Linked DNA regions of Pelodiscus sinensis. The protein of the gene in region 2 purifies or fractionates together with the protein of the main gene of each other region. This does not show direct contact. Links are inferred from orthologs where the notes say so. Each region holds a gene or a part of one and is shown on either strand. Other genes may lie near its edges.

Region 1 (7,031 bases), on a different chromosome or scaffold from region 2:
GTGTGAGTAAATAAAGCATTGGTGGCTGGTCAGGGGCTAACCTTAGCGAACCGCCTCCACTCCAGGGCTAGAGAGACTTTTGGACTGACCCAGTATGTCCATTCTTATGTTCTTAGCTCTGTGCCTCACAGAATAAAATGTACATTAATAACTACTTTTTTGGTTCTTATGTCTCCAAAATGTCTAAACTAAACCCTGCAGAAAAGAAGCCAAAAGAATAGTAGCCCATACCTGTCTGGGGTCTGACAGTTGTTACTGATTCCAGATAATCTTTCATGTCTTTATGTTTGAAGCCAATGGAGATTTCAAAAGATGTTTTATGCAGCACATTTAGATGATTAGGATTGGCTCCCTTGTCCACGAGCTGTTGTGCCACACTCAGCTTTCCACTAACTGCTGCCAGCATTAGAGGACTCCAGCCCACTGTCTTCAAAGAGTAATTACAATCAGCTCCCCAGTCCAGTAGTAAATGCACCACTGCTTCATGTCCATGTTGGGCAGCTGCTATTAGTGGTATTATATCTGGCAGTTCCTCTTTGCTGTTCTCAACGAAACTGGTATTAAAATGGTCATAATTATCAACAAAAGCTCCAGATTCCAGCAACAATTTCACCACACTGACATGGCCACCTCTAGAAGCCATTGTAAGTACACTGGCTCCCAGTTTATTCTGTGCATTCAGATCAGCACCATTCTCCAACAAGATGTGGGCCACAGTTAGATGTCCAAACCTTAAAAGAAAGCAAAAGAATTGAAAAGAGATACCAGTTTTTCTGTAATAAATATCTTTTACAGACAGCATGTGAGAAAATTTTGCTACAACAGTTATTTGGTATGCTCAACTTCCCTACTGTACCTACGGCAATTGAAAATGTACCATGTGTACTTAAGACTATCACTGCAGCCCAACCCCCATCCTTTGAAATTAGGTTTTAAAAGAATCAACAGAACTATAAGGATCTGGACAAAACCCAAATATCCTAGATCAAGAAGTTATTTAAGTATACATATAATTTAAAAAGTGAATAATCCCATGTGCAGGGTTGGGGCCATAGACAGCTGTGATAAATGCTATAGTAAACTCTATGACTGATAAAGTGTATGAAATCTGATTCTATTTATTGAATGTTATAAACTGTTTTCTATTTTGTCCTGTGAAACGTTTAGAGAAATTAGGGAAAGCCCACTGAAACAGGACTTTTTTCATGATTTCAGTAGACCAAACATCTGACCTCCTCAGTCAAGATTTCCTAACCAAAGGAACAGTAACAAATAAAATAAACTTTTAGGCATCTTTTATTCCCATAGGAGATGATGCTCAATAGTTGCTTTTATTTGTATGCTGCTTTTAAAAATACATACAGGCTACGTCTACACTGGAATGATTTTCCGGAAATACTTTTAATGGAAAAATTTTCCGTTAAAAGCATTTTCGGAAAAGCGCGTCTAGATTGGCAGGGCGCTTTTCCGCAAAAGCACTTTTTGCAGAAAAGCGTCTGTGGCCAATCTAGACGCGTTTTTCTGCAAAAAAGCCCCGATCGCCATTTTCGCGATCGGGGCTTTTTTGCAGAAAAGAAATCTCTGCTGTCTACACTGGCCCTTTTGCGCAAAAGTCTTTCGGAAAAAGACTTTTGCCCGAACGGGAGCAGCATAGTATTTCCGCAAAAGCGCTGACAATCTTACATGAGATCATCAGTACTTTTGCGGAAATTCAAGCGCCCAGTGTAGACAGCTGGCAAGTTTTTCCGCAAAAGCAGATGATTTTGCGGAAAAACTTGCCAGTCTAGACACAGCCACATAGTGCAGTTATTCAGTGGTATTAGTTGTAATTTGATGACATTTATAAATTGCTATGGTGACCTGCCCACTATTTATCATAATTCTAAACTAAAGGACAATGGGAAAAGGAAATGTACTAACATTAAATTCTAACATTTGTTCAATTTCACATTTGACATGCCTTTCCTCACCAGCAAAACAATCATTTCTTGCAAGCAATGTGATTGTTTAAACTGGTATTTTAAAATAGCTTAAAGCAAGAGTTTGAATGATCAAAACCAGAACGCCTTCTCTGTCCAGAGTGCACAACGATTCTCCCAAAGGACCGGACCTGTAATACTTTGACTACTCGGGGAGGGAACTGGCTGCTTGTTTCTTATGAGCAAGAGCCACGAGGATGTGGAGGGAGGAACAGGCACACTCGTCTAGCAGCCGTGTACAAATGATGCTGCTCAGGAAGAAACAACTCCGCTCTGTGCCAGCCACAGCCGACGTTTCCTCTGCTCTCCAGCAGGGCACAGGGCTTTGCTTTGTTTTCTAACTCGCTCCCTTGAAATGAAGAAACAGGCTGGGTGGTTACCCTCACAGCCAAGCCACGCCCGAGCAGCCCGGGGTGCTGCTGGAAGAGGCGTTGCTCAGCCCACTGCCGAACCCCTGCGCCCTACCAGCTCTCACGCCCCAGCCTGCTGAGAGGGGGCAGGCCCCACCGGGCCACGGCTGCAAGCCGGAGCATGCTCAGTGGCGGCCGGGGAGCGGATGCGGGCAGCGCCCGGCCCTACCTGGCCGCCTGCATGAGCGGGCTCCAGCCGTAGTGGTTCCGACTCTGCACCGAGGCCCCTTTGCGCAGCAGGAACCGCACCAGCTGCTCGTGGCCCCCGGCCGAGGCGAACTGCAGCCCGGTGTTGCCGGCCTCGTCCGTGCAATCCACTGGCACCGAAGGGGGAGGCGCTGCCGCTTCCCCGGCTCCGGGCTCCGCCGCCGCCGCCTCCTCCGCCCCGCAAGCGGAGCCGCCCGCCGCCTCCGCGCCGCCCCCGGGCAGCCCCAGGAGGCGCCGGGCGCTCTCGTAGTCCCCCTGCTCGCAGGCGCGGAGAAAGAGCTGGACCTGGGTGGGAACCCCGCATTCCCCCATCGGCCGCGGCGTGCGAGCCCCGCGCAGCCGCCGCCTCCGACCCCTGCCTGCGCCCCCGGCATGGGCCTCGCTGCCCTGGAAGGAGAGAGAGCTCGGCGCTCCGCCCGCGGAAGGGCGGCCGGTCTCATGTTACACCCCAGCAGTTCCTTCCCGCGCGCGGGCCCCGTCCTGGAGACACGCCTGGGCAATTGCAGTGACTGATGTGGGAAGGGCTCTCAATGGCTTATAGAACCATAGAGCTGGAAGAGACCTCAGGAGGTCATCAAGTCCAGCCCCCTGCCCAAGGCAGGACCAATCCCAATTAAATCAACCCAGCCAGGGCTTTGTCAAGCCCAGACTTAAACACCTCTAGGGGTGGAGACTCCACTACTTCCCTAGGTAACCCAGTCCAGTGCTTCACCACCCTCCTAGTGAAATAGTTTTTCCTAATATCCAACCTGGACCTCTCCCACCGCAACTTGAGACCATTGCTCCTTGTTCTGCCATCTGTCATTACTGAGAACAGCCTTTCTCCATCCTCTTTGGAACCCCCCTTCAGGAAGTTGAAGGCTGCTATCAAATCCCCCCTCACTCTTCTCTTCTGCAGACTAAATATTTCTAACTCCCTCAGCTTCTCCTCATAGGTCATATGTTCCAGCCCCTTGTCTGCCCTCCCCTTCCCCCAGCTCCCAGTGCAGGGCCTGGCCGTGCTGGGCTGGGGTGCACTGACACAATATGTTACTGAGCTTAGTCACTTTGCATTGTAGATTAGTTTCTAGAGTAAAACCATTTTTGTTTTTCTAAACACTTTAAAATGCATTTCAAATACGGTTTACAATGCGTTCTTCTCAATCCGCAGAATATCTTCCATTCCTACCCTATCCCTCCACCCCCAGTTACACATATTGATCAAAAGTCTAAGAGGGGTAGCAGTATTAATCTGTAGCTTAAAAAAAAACTTAAAAATGAGTGGTCCTGTACCACCTCAGAGACTAATAAAAATATACATTGTATCATGAGCTTTCGTGGGCACAACCCACTTCTGCAGATGAGTGGAAGATCTTGTTCCAGAGTGGATGAGTGCCCAAGATCTTATTCCAGAGATATTTCCTCAGGCTTTTCCCTCATTGTTCAAATAAAGTGCCTTCTTGTCACTGTGTTTTTGTCTCCCACATCTTAGTTACCCCAAGTTAACAAGGCCAAACAAAAATCATAGGCTACGTCTACACTGGCCCCTTTTTCGGAACGGGCATGCTAATTTTGAAAGTGGGAATAGGGAAATCCGCGGGGGATTTAAATATCCCCCGCGGATTTAAATAAACATGTCTGACGCTTTTTTTCCGTCTTGGGGAAAAGCCGGAAAAAAAGCGTCTAGACTGGCCCGATCCTCCGGAATAAAGCCCTATTCCGGAGGATCTCTTATTCCTACTACCCTATTCCCACTTTCAAAATTAGCATGCCCCTTCCGAAAAAGGGGCCAGTGTAGACGTAGCCATAATTTTTAGCAGTAAGGGGAAGGCCAAGTGGCTAGAGTCACAAAGGTGATCAAGGCATAGCAACACTGTCTCACAACATCTAGTTTTTAGGCACTAAGAAAGTCACAGGAACACCAACGTGTTTCACAAATCTTGAGTAAGGAGCCTAAACTCCCTATACAATGAATAGGGAGAGAGCTGCACCTCAGACAGATTCACAACTGCCAAAATACTAGGTAGGGCGCTTGCTAAACCAGCCAATGGGAGATGCTGACCAGAGATTAAGTCAAACTCCATCATAGAGTTCACTGCCAGAATCCAGTCTGCATGTAAGCACCTGGAATACCCTGTCGTGAGTCAGGTGGTTTAGGTGCCTAACCTGTTCTTTGAGAGATTGAGATAGGCAGATGCATAGCCAACAAAACAGCCAGAGGAAGAAGAAGGCCCAGCCTTGTAACTACTATCCCAGTGGACAGAGTGCTCACATGGGTTATGGGAGACATCTATTCAAATCTTTTCTCCCTCTCACAGGGGAATCAAACCCAGGTTTCCCATATCCTGCATGAGTATTCTAACCACTAGGATAAAAGTTATGAGGTGGGTAGTGTCATGTCCTCCCCCTTCAGCCAGATTTTGAATAGGATCGATCAGCGGTGCTAAGGAACACAGGCGGGGAAGCACAGGTAACGTGATCACTGCCCAGGTGTCTCCTCCCTGTTCCACCTGTTATCCTCAGGGAAGAGAACCCAGTCAGTTCATGCCCTGCCACCACTCCACCCAAGCCCTCACCACTAGGAGCAGGAAGCTGAGTGACCTAGCCCCAGCCTGCTCAGCTCTGCCAATTCCTAGCCAGGTTGCTCAATTCCCACTGCCAGGGAGTGCAGAACCCCCTCCCCAAGCAATGTAGCCCAAGGGATTATCCGGGGACCTGGAGCATGCTGCAGAGGTTGGGACGCCCTGCATTCACCAGCAGCAGAAGGCGGAGCAATGCTGGGAGCTGGAGGGAACACAGTAGTTTGTGGCCAAATCGCTACACTTCCCACTGCCCTTGAATGCAGGGGCCCCCTGATCCTGCAGTCTGCATCTGCCCCCTCCCCCATTAATCCCCCCAGGCCACATTGCTTGGGGGAAGGGAGAAGGGGTGTACTCTGCACTCACTGGCTGCAGAAAGCAAAGGAATCCAGCCCCAGCCAAAACATGGGCCCAGGGGCAATGACTCTTCCCACTGGCTGCTGGCCTCTTATTCTTCCCCCTCTACATTTGGGGGGGTACCTGACCCTTCATCCCCCTCACCCCCCATGTCTCCCCTGGGACTCATTTCAGTAGGCACTCTCTGATCATGCCTGCCAAATCGGGCGCCATACACAAGATATGCATTAGCCTCCCTATCTTCCCTGGTTTGTGATTTGTTTTGGAGCTTATGTGGGAAATAAGCATCCAGATGCCTAAAGTAAGGTAAAAGTGCATGTTCAAAGGCAGACATTTAGACACTTAAAGAAACTTTACCCTGAATATGCAGGCACTGAATGAGTTAAGGTGCCTAAATGTTTTAACAGGAGTTTTGGGAATTGTAGAGGAATCTAAAATTGGACATAGGTACCTAAATCTTTGTGAATCTAGCCCTAAGTTTCTATAAAAACGCACAAAGAGGATCAGTCTGACTTCCAAACCTGGAAAGATACTGGAACAAATTAATAAATCATCAATTTGTAAGCATCTAGAGGATAAGTGGGTTATAAGAAATAGCCAGCAAGGATTTCTCAAGAACAAGTGTTGCCAAAGAAATTAAATTAGACAGAGTTACTTGTTTAGTGGATAGGGGTGAAGCAGTAGATATGATATATTTTGATTTTATTAAGGATTTTGACATAATCCTTCTTGACATAAGCAAACTAGGGAAATGTGGTCTGGAGGAAACTACTATAAAGTGGCTGCAAAACTGGTTGAAAAAATATACTTAAATAGTAATTATGAATGGCTCACTGTCAAACTGGGAGGGCATATCTAGAAGGGTCCAACAGAGATCAATGCTGTGCCCAATACTATTATATTATTTTTAGTAATTACTTCTTGGATAATAAGAGTGGAGAACATGATTATAAAATATGTAGACGACACTATCCTGGGAGGGGTTCAAGCACTTTGGAGGACAGGATTAGAATTCAAAATGACCTTAACAAATTGGAGAACTGGTCTGAATTCAACAAGATGAAATTCAAAGACAAGCACAAAAAACTTAGGAAAGAAAAATCAAATGCACAATTACAAAATGGAAGGCAGGGAAGAAAGCTAAGTGATAGTACTGCTGAAAAGAGATCTGGGCATTATGGCTATGGTGACCGTATTTTCTGAACCAAAATTGGGGACATGTTAGCAATGCTCCCTGACCCCTGTTAGCCATCCCCCTGACCTCCATTGGCCACCCTTGGAGATAGTACTCCCAGAGTCAAGATAGACACATGACCGGAAGTAAAGCGTGTCATATGACTCCCTCTAAAATCTCCCCCTACTCTTCTCTACTAATAGGGATGGGTTTGGGCCCCATAGGACCCCTCCACCACCACCACCATGTAACTATGTTGCAATTGCATTAACCCAACTTGCATTGCATTAACTCGGGGGAGAGGCCTGGGATTCCTCTGTTTCAGTGGCTCTCAAACTTTTTTTGC
Region 2 (7,953 bases):
AAGATCCCATAAAATGTCCTTTGGCAAAACCTTACATTCCCAATATTTCTAAAATCAAAAAACAGATTAAAAAATAATCAGGCCTCCCATATAAATCATTAAAAAAGCCACAAGCTATTTTAAGTGCTTTGCAGGTCGGCACTGAATTTCTTCCTTTTTAGAGAATCACAGAGAAAGTGAAACTATTTAAATTCTTCTTCAACCTTAAAACTAGTCTCATTGCTTTCTACTCTACTTTCTGCATTTCTAATTCAGCAACAGTGAATACAGTATTTCATATATGGATGCTTCACTCCTTACAGTGTGAAAATATTGGTAGCAGGGATGTGAAAGTCACACAAACCCACCCTCCCCTGCTGCCTCTGTATCAGAAGCCGTAGTGTGTGGGGCACAGGTGGAAGCGCACACTAGCTCCCACAGAGAATCACATCACCACCACCCCGTGTGGTGGGTAAGTGGCTCCACGGGAGCCCCTATGCGCAGAAAGCCAACTTAAAAGCTGACTCCCTACACACACAGGCAAGGGACCACGAGCCTTGCCAGCCCGGAGCACTGCCAGCCCCACAGAGTCCTGAGCCCCGGGAATGGTTAACCATGTAATGGATAGAATTGTTATCAGTCACCGAGTTAATATCTTTATTCATTTATATCCCTAATTTGAATGTTTTTCTTTTTTTCTGAAGCATCACAATTATATAAAGAATAACAATGAAGTTTTTACTGCAATTATGCAGTGCTCCAAAGTTTCTCCCTTTCACGCAGTGGTTCCCAAACTTTTCAGCATCACGCCCCCTTCTTGATTTTTGAAAAACCCTCATGCCCCTCCACCCCAAAATAGCAAAACTTGTCGGGGGGGGGGGGGGGGAAGGAACTGACCAGGGCAGCAAAACTTGATTGGGGGAGGGGGGACTGGGTCGCCTCGCATACCCCCTGGAATTTCTTCACACACCCCAGTTTGGGAACCCATGCGTGTAGAGTATCAAAGTTTGTCTTTTTTTGCTAACAAAAGTTGATCCATAAAAAATTTGACTTCACCCACTTCATCTCTCTCATACACAGCATCTAACACAGCTACACCAACACGGCACAAAAAAATCATCAGATTCAACATTTTAAGAACTACAGAACCTAAGATCAGTATTATAACCCTGGCATTCAACTGGACTCTTGTTTTTCTTTTCAAATTTAGTTCTACAATTTGAATTCCTCATATTTAAGTATACTTTGTTGAAGAGTACATTTATTGCAAAAAATGTACTCAAATCTCACATATTCAAAATTATGTTGGTTAAAAAAGGTAGTAGAGATGCTCAAAATAGAAAGATAAAGATTTTATTACGCCTTATGAAGTAACACATGGGGAAAACGTCTACACAAGCTTCACTGTCAAAATACTTAGTCACATATAACATATACTATCAATAAGTTTCAATATTAATATTAAAACAATAGGTGCCTTATATCACTATGGAGATTACCCTAAATAACTAACTCGCCAATAGGCAATGTTACTACACAAGTCTTTTCAAAACTGAGCCCTATATTGACCAAATATTTCCTACTACTACTGAGCTCCAGCCCAGCTAAACGAACACATTAGCAGCTTGTCTCTGTGACTTCATTTGACATGTAAAAATTTCTGGAAAGGGTTAACCTACAAGCCTGGAATATCCATTTGTTATGGAAAAAACTTACCAGACGTGCCATAAAAAGAGCAGCAATAAAGACAAATGAAAACACAAAAATGCCATTTGCTAAAGGGGAAGAAGTTTCAGTTTTCGCTTTACCTTTAAAAAGGAAATGAAAAAGGGGAGGCTGGTGTAACCTACCAAGGCCCCTACATGATGGGCTGTGTTGTGCTACCCTGTGAAGAGACGTACATACAAGGTGACTAAAAGACAACCTGTAAAGCGAGGCACATCGATCTCATGAGCAGTATTACCAATTTTTTAAAAATAAAAATCTCCTGCCACGTTTTCTGCGGTTGGGGGACAGAATTCCCCGCCCCTTCCCCTGCACAGGTCCTACCACCAGCAGGCCAACTTCGAGAGACGGGTCTGAGCCCCCGCCTAACCAATGACATTTCTTGGCGTTAAAGTTTTGGAGGCCCCCACGCCGCCTCCATTCTCAGGGGGCTGTTTTCAGCTTGGCCGAAGAGCCAGCAAAGCCGCCCGCAGACCCCGGAGCGCCGGGAAAAGACGACACCCCCCCCCCCTTAAATAACGCCCAGCCCGAATCGCGGGGCTACATACACACAAGCCCCGCCGGACCCGGCCTCCTCGCGCTACCGCTGCCGCCGCCCAAGGCCCGGGCAGGTGGCGCCCGGCATGTGGCAGGGGCTGCGCAAAGCCGCGCGGCCGAGCCCGGAAAGGAGACCGGGCTTGGCACGCGCCGCCGCCCTGCCCCCCGCCGAGTTTCACTTCACAGGAGTCACTTCACAGACACACGCTCTCCCCACCCCGCCCCCGGCCACGGGCGGAGCGGCGGCAGCTGCAGCCAATGGGGGCCGGGTGACTGGCGGCGGCGGCCAATGAGACCCGGCGAGAGGTGGGACTGTCCTCCCGCCGCGGCGGCCCCGTGTGAGGTCGCTGGCTGCCTGCAAGGGAGTTTCTTGGTTACAGCCCCGGCTGCGCGCCCCAAGCTCCCGGCCCCTTCTCCCCCCCGCGCCTCACCAGACCGCGCGCGTCCCTCCCGCTTCGCGCCGGGCCGCCGGAACCGGCCTCGCTGCCTCGGCGGAGAGTGCCGCGCCCAGGCGCCGAGTGGGGGCCGGACGCTCCGGGCGGGTGCGGGGCTCCCCGTGCGCGAACCGTGAGGCCGCGGCGGTAGCAGCCCAGCCGCCGCCGCCTCCTCCTGCCGCTGCCGCTGCCGCCAGGACTGTAAACATCCCGGCATCCCCGAGGGGAGAGAGGCGGGGCCGGCGCCGGGCTCCTCCTCAGAGCGGGCCCCCGCCGCCTTCTGGCGCTCAGCGGCCCGGCCGCGGCGTATGCTGGCCCGCCGTGTCCCCGCGACGGCTAGGGCCGGACTGACGGCGGCGGCAGCAGACGTTTGGCCTGCCCCGGTAAAGGATGGGCTGGGAGGGGCCGGCCTGCACGCTGGGAAGCGCCCGGGCTTGGGGTCAGGCCCGTGTCTTTCCGAAACCAGGGGCCCCGGTGCTGCGCTGCTTCCGAAGAGGCAGGAGACTGGCTGGTGCGCTGGGAAGCACCTTGGCCAAACCTGCAGCCATGTGTGGGACCCCAGAGGCTGCGTCGGTTCCAGCTCCCGGTGTGTTACCGAACTGCAACTTCCTAGCAGCCTAGTTCCTCCTGAGAGGTAGCAGTGCGCTTAATACAAATAAATGGCGACTGCGTCCCACCGCAAGCAAATATATTCTTGGCTTTTGTGTAGTGGAAATTGCGACCGCAGGCAGAAACTGAATTTGTATGTGTTTCTGCATTCTCTAGCCCCAAGGACCCTAAACCCCTGAGAAGCACTCCTAGGCCCTATAAATTATACAGCAGCTCCCTTGACAAGAGTAAGAGGGGCTCAGCACTCTGAACTCTCATGAAAGAAAAAAGAAAGCCTAGGATTTCTGAAAAACAATGTGTCCAGGGGAAGGTGTGGAGCATTCATTAGAAAAGCCATCTACCCTGATCTAACACTCTCCCTGTATAGTGTGGAAAAAGGAGATATGTTTAGCTAACTTTGTTTGTTAATAGGCAGCAGCTTTAAAACAAACAAAAGGAAGTATTTCTTCACTCAGTGCACAATCAACCTCTGAAACTCCTTGCCAGAGGATGCGGTGAAGTCTAGAACTTCAACTGGGTTCAAAAAAGAGCTAGCTAGATTCATGGAGGTAAGGTTCATCAATGGCTATTAGCCAGTGTGGGTAGGAATGGTGTCCCTAGCCTCTGTTCTTCTGGAAGTGGGTGACAGGGGAGGGATCATGTGAAGATTACCTGTTGTGATCCCTTCCTCTGAGACATCTGGTATTGGCCCCTGTCAGCAGACAGGGTACTGGGCTAAATGGACCTTTGGTCTGACCCAGTGTGGCCATTCTTATGTTTGTTTTTTAAACACAAATAAGGACTTACATTAGAGTAAGAATGTGTTTAAAAACTTGTTTGCTGGTAGTAGTTCCCTTGGGGACGAACCATAATCCCTTAGAAATAAAAATGAAAGCTTCCTAACAGCATGCAAAATAATCCTGACTTTCTGCTGACATGTTGCCTGTTTCTGGTAGTAACCTATTGGAAAAAGACTGAATGTAAACCTGTGCTTAGGAATTAAAAATAAACAGCTCTTCTAAAAATACATAGGAAAGTAGCTTTTTCTTTTTCTGGAGTGATGGAGAAGCTCTCCCCAAAGAGATCTTGATCCTTTCTGAATTCTGAAATGGGGACTCAGGAGGTATGAAACACTGAAGTGGAAGAGCTGGTGCTAGCCTAAACAGTTTGGAGTTCTCAGTGGGCGTGTCTACAATTTAATTAAAAATCTGCTGACTCAACCTAGGGGCTTGGGTTGGAGCCCAGGCTTTAGGGCTCCAACAATCACAGCAATTAATTAGCCCCTTAACTTAAGTCTTACAAGCTGGATTCAGCTGATGGGCCACCCACAGGTGGCTAACTGCAGTGTAGACATAGCCAGTGTTCTCTGCCGGTAGCTTGAACAGCAGTAGCACCTGATAGGGAAAGAAAAGAGTTCTGTGTGGAAATCTTCTGTCTCCCTCCTATTAGCTTTCCTTCTAGAAGAAGAATTAGAAACTAGCATATTTATCCTTTAAATCATTTCTTAATCTAAAGTTCAACAAACAGCCTGAGGGTCCAATCCACAAGGGTACCTAGGTGTCTGAGTTCCATTTTTAAGAACCAATGTGAGCCACAAAGCTTCCACTCAGCTGCCATCTAACCCTGCAGATGATTATACTCATGGCACCTAAGTTTTTGTTTCTAGGCCTGTGCATTGCTGCCACACAACAGGTATCCATAGGGATGTGAAGGATTAACTAGTAAGCTTCACCTTTAACGGGACTGGGATGCCAAAGCATCCCTTGCCTGCGGGGTGCCCTAGCCTATTGCCAAGCTGGTGTAGCGGTTCCTGCTAAGGGAAATTAGAGAGGCTATCAAAATAAAGAACTCAATAATAGTGGGGGATTTTAACTATCCCCGTATTGACTGGGTGCTTGTCACCTCAAGACAAAATGCAGAGACAAAATTTCTTTATCTTCAATGGCTGCTTCTTGGAGCAGCTGGTACAGGAACCAACAAGGGGAGAGGCAATTCTCGATTTAGTCCTGAATGGTGCGTAGGATCCGGTCCAAGAGGTAACTATAATAGGACCACTTAGAAATAGTGACCATAATATAATAACATTTAACATTCCTGTGGTGGGAAGAACATCTCAGCAGCCCAACACTGTGGCTTTAATTTCAGAAAGGGGAACTATGCAAAAATGAGGAGGTTAGTTAAACAGAAATTAAAAGGTACTGTGACTAAAGTAAAATCCCTGTAAGCTGCATGGATGCTTTCAAAGACAACAAAATAGAGGCCCAACTTAAATGTATACCCCAAATTAAAAAAAAAATCATAGAAGAACTAAAAAAGAGCCACCATGGCTGAACAGCCATGAAAAAGAAGCAGTGAGAGATAAAAACACATCTTTTAAAAAGTGGAAGTCAAATCCTAGTGAGGTAAATAGAAAGGAACATAAACACTGTCAAATGAAGTGTAAAAATGAATAAGAAAAGCCAAAAAGTAGTTTGAAGAACAGCTAGCCAAAAACTCAAAAAGTAATAACAGAATGTTTAAGTACATCAGAAGCAGAAAGCCTGCTAAACAACCAGTGGGGCCCCTGGATGGTCTAGATACAAAAGGATCACTTAACGACTATTTAAGTCAATGTGAAGAAACTAAATGAATTCTTTGCTTCAGTCTTCAAGGGTGAGGATGTTAGGGAGATTCCCAAACCTGAACCGTCCTTTGTGGGTGACAAATCTGCAGACTTGTCAAAGATGGAAGTGTCATTAGAGGAGATTTTGGAATTAATTGATAAACTTAACAGTAACAAGTCACCGGGACCAGATGGCATTCACCCAAGAGTTCTGAAAGAACTCAAAAGTGAAATTGCGGCACTATTAACTCTGGTTTGTAATCTATCCTTTAAATCAGCTTCTGTACCCAATGACTGGAAGATAGCTAATGTAATGCCAATATTTAAAAAAGGCTTTAGAGGCGATCCCAGCAATTACAGACTGGTAAGTCTAACATCAGTACCGGGCAAATTAGTTGAAACAAATAGTAAAGAATACAATTGTCAGACACATAGAAGAACATAATTTGTTGGGCAAAAGTCAACATGGTTTCTGTAAAGGGAAATCATGTCTTACTAATCTATTAGGCTATGTCTACACTGGTGAGTTCTTGCACCAGAAATATGCAAATGAGGCTAAGCGTGGAATATCACCGAGCCTCATTTGCATACCTAATTTTTGCGGAAGAGGCTCTTGCACCAGAAGGAGCTGTCTACACTGCCCCTTCTTGCACATGAAAAACCCTGTTGCGCAATGCTGCTACACTGATTATTTTCAGGAATAACGGCATTGCGCAAGAGGGTTTTTCTTGCGCAAGAAGGGACAGTGTAGATGCTCCTTCTGGCACAAGAGCCTCTTCCGCAAAAATGACAGCTCATTAGGTATGCAAATGAGGCTCGGCGATATTCCACGCTTAGCCTCATTTGCATATTTCTGGCGCAAGAACCCGCCAGTGTAGATATAGCCTTTGAGTTCTTTGAAGGGGTCAACAAATATGTGGACAAAGGGGATCCAGTAGATATAGTGTACTTAGATTTCCAGAAAGCCTTTGACAAGGTCCCTCTCCAAAGGCTCTTATGTAAATTAAGTTGTCATGGGATAAGAGGGAAGATCCTTTCATGGACTAAGAGCTGGTTTAAAGATAGGAAACAAAGGGTAGGAATAAATGGTAAATTTTCAGAATGGAGAGGGATAACTAGTGGTGTTGCCCAAGAATCAGTTCTAGGACTAATTCTATTCAACTTATTTATAAATGATCTGGAGAAATGGGTAAACAGTGAGGTGGCAAAGTTTGCAGATGATACTAAACTGCTCAAGCTAGTTAAGACCAAAGCAGACCATGCAGAACTTCAAAAAGATCTCACCAAACTGACTGGGTAACAAAATGGCAAATTAAATTTAATGTGGATAAATGTAAAGTAATGCACATTGGCAGGGCTTGACAAACCACTGAATCTACTCGCCCAGGGCAAGTAAATTTCAGCCAGTCTGTCCGAGCGCCCCATTCACCAGCGCATCGCGCATGCGCAGTGCCGGTCTGGCACATGTGCAGCACGAGGCTGGCGAGTGGCTCTCGCTGGGGTTTGTCAAGCCCTGCACATTGGAAAAAATAACCCCAACTATACATATAATATGAGGGGGGGCTAATTTAGCTACAACTAATCAGGAAAGAGATCTTGGAGTCATCGTGGATAGTTCTCTGAAGACGTCCACGCAGTGTGCAGCGGCAGTCAAAACAAACAATGTTAGGAATCATTAAAAAAGGGATAGAGAATAAGAGGAAGAATATCCATGGTACGCCCACATCTTGAATAGCGTACAGATGTGGCCTCCTCCTTTCAAAAAAGATATACTGGCATTAGAAAAGGTTCGGAGAAGGGCAACTAAAATGATTAGGGGTTTGGAACATGTCCCATATTAGGAGAGATTAAAGAGACTGGGACTTTTCAGCTTGGAAAAGAGGAGACTAAGGGAGGATATGTTAGAGATATAAAATCAAAAGCGGTGTGGAGAAAGTGAATAAGGAAAAGTTATTTACTTGTTCCCATAATATAAGAACTAGGAGCTACCAAATGAAACTAATGGGCAGCAAGTTTAAAACAAATAAAAGGAAATTATTCACACAGCACATAGTCAATCTGTGGAACTCCTTGCCTGAGGAGGTTGTG

Evidence for each region. The genes of interacting proteins can lie anywhere in the genome.
Region 1: the proteins of NEK7 (region 2) and ANKS6 purify together in Homo sapiens (affinity purification with mass spectrometry; 3 studies listed by BioGRID and IntAct, with this or other methods). This does not show direct contact. The link is inferred for Pelodiscus sinensis from reciprocal best matches to the Homo sapiens genes NEK7 and ANKS6.

Annotation. Positions count from the first base shown.
Region 1 is NC_134712.1:142,920,565-142,927,595, forward strand, and holds the start of ANKS6 (ankyrin repeat and SAM domain-containing protein 6), read right to left. Parts: upstream 3,011-7,031; 5' UTR 2,909-3,010; coding exon 2,559-2,908; intron 732-2,558; coding exon 232-731; intron 1-231.
Region 2 is NC_134719.1:45,899,427-45,907,379, forward strand, and holds the start of NEK7 (serine/threonine-protein kinase Nek7), read right to left. Parts: upstream 3,016-7,953; 5' UTR 2,673-3,015; intron 2,473-2,672; exon of another isoform or gene 2,253-2,472; intron 1,865-2,252; exon of another isoform or gene 1,830-1,864; intron 811-1,829; exon of another isoform or gene 1-810. UniProt on the Homo sapiens protein: Protein kinase which plays an important role in mitotic cell cycle progression. Required for microtubule nucleation activity of the centrosome, robust mitotic spindle formation and cytokinesis.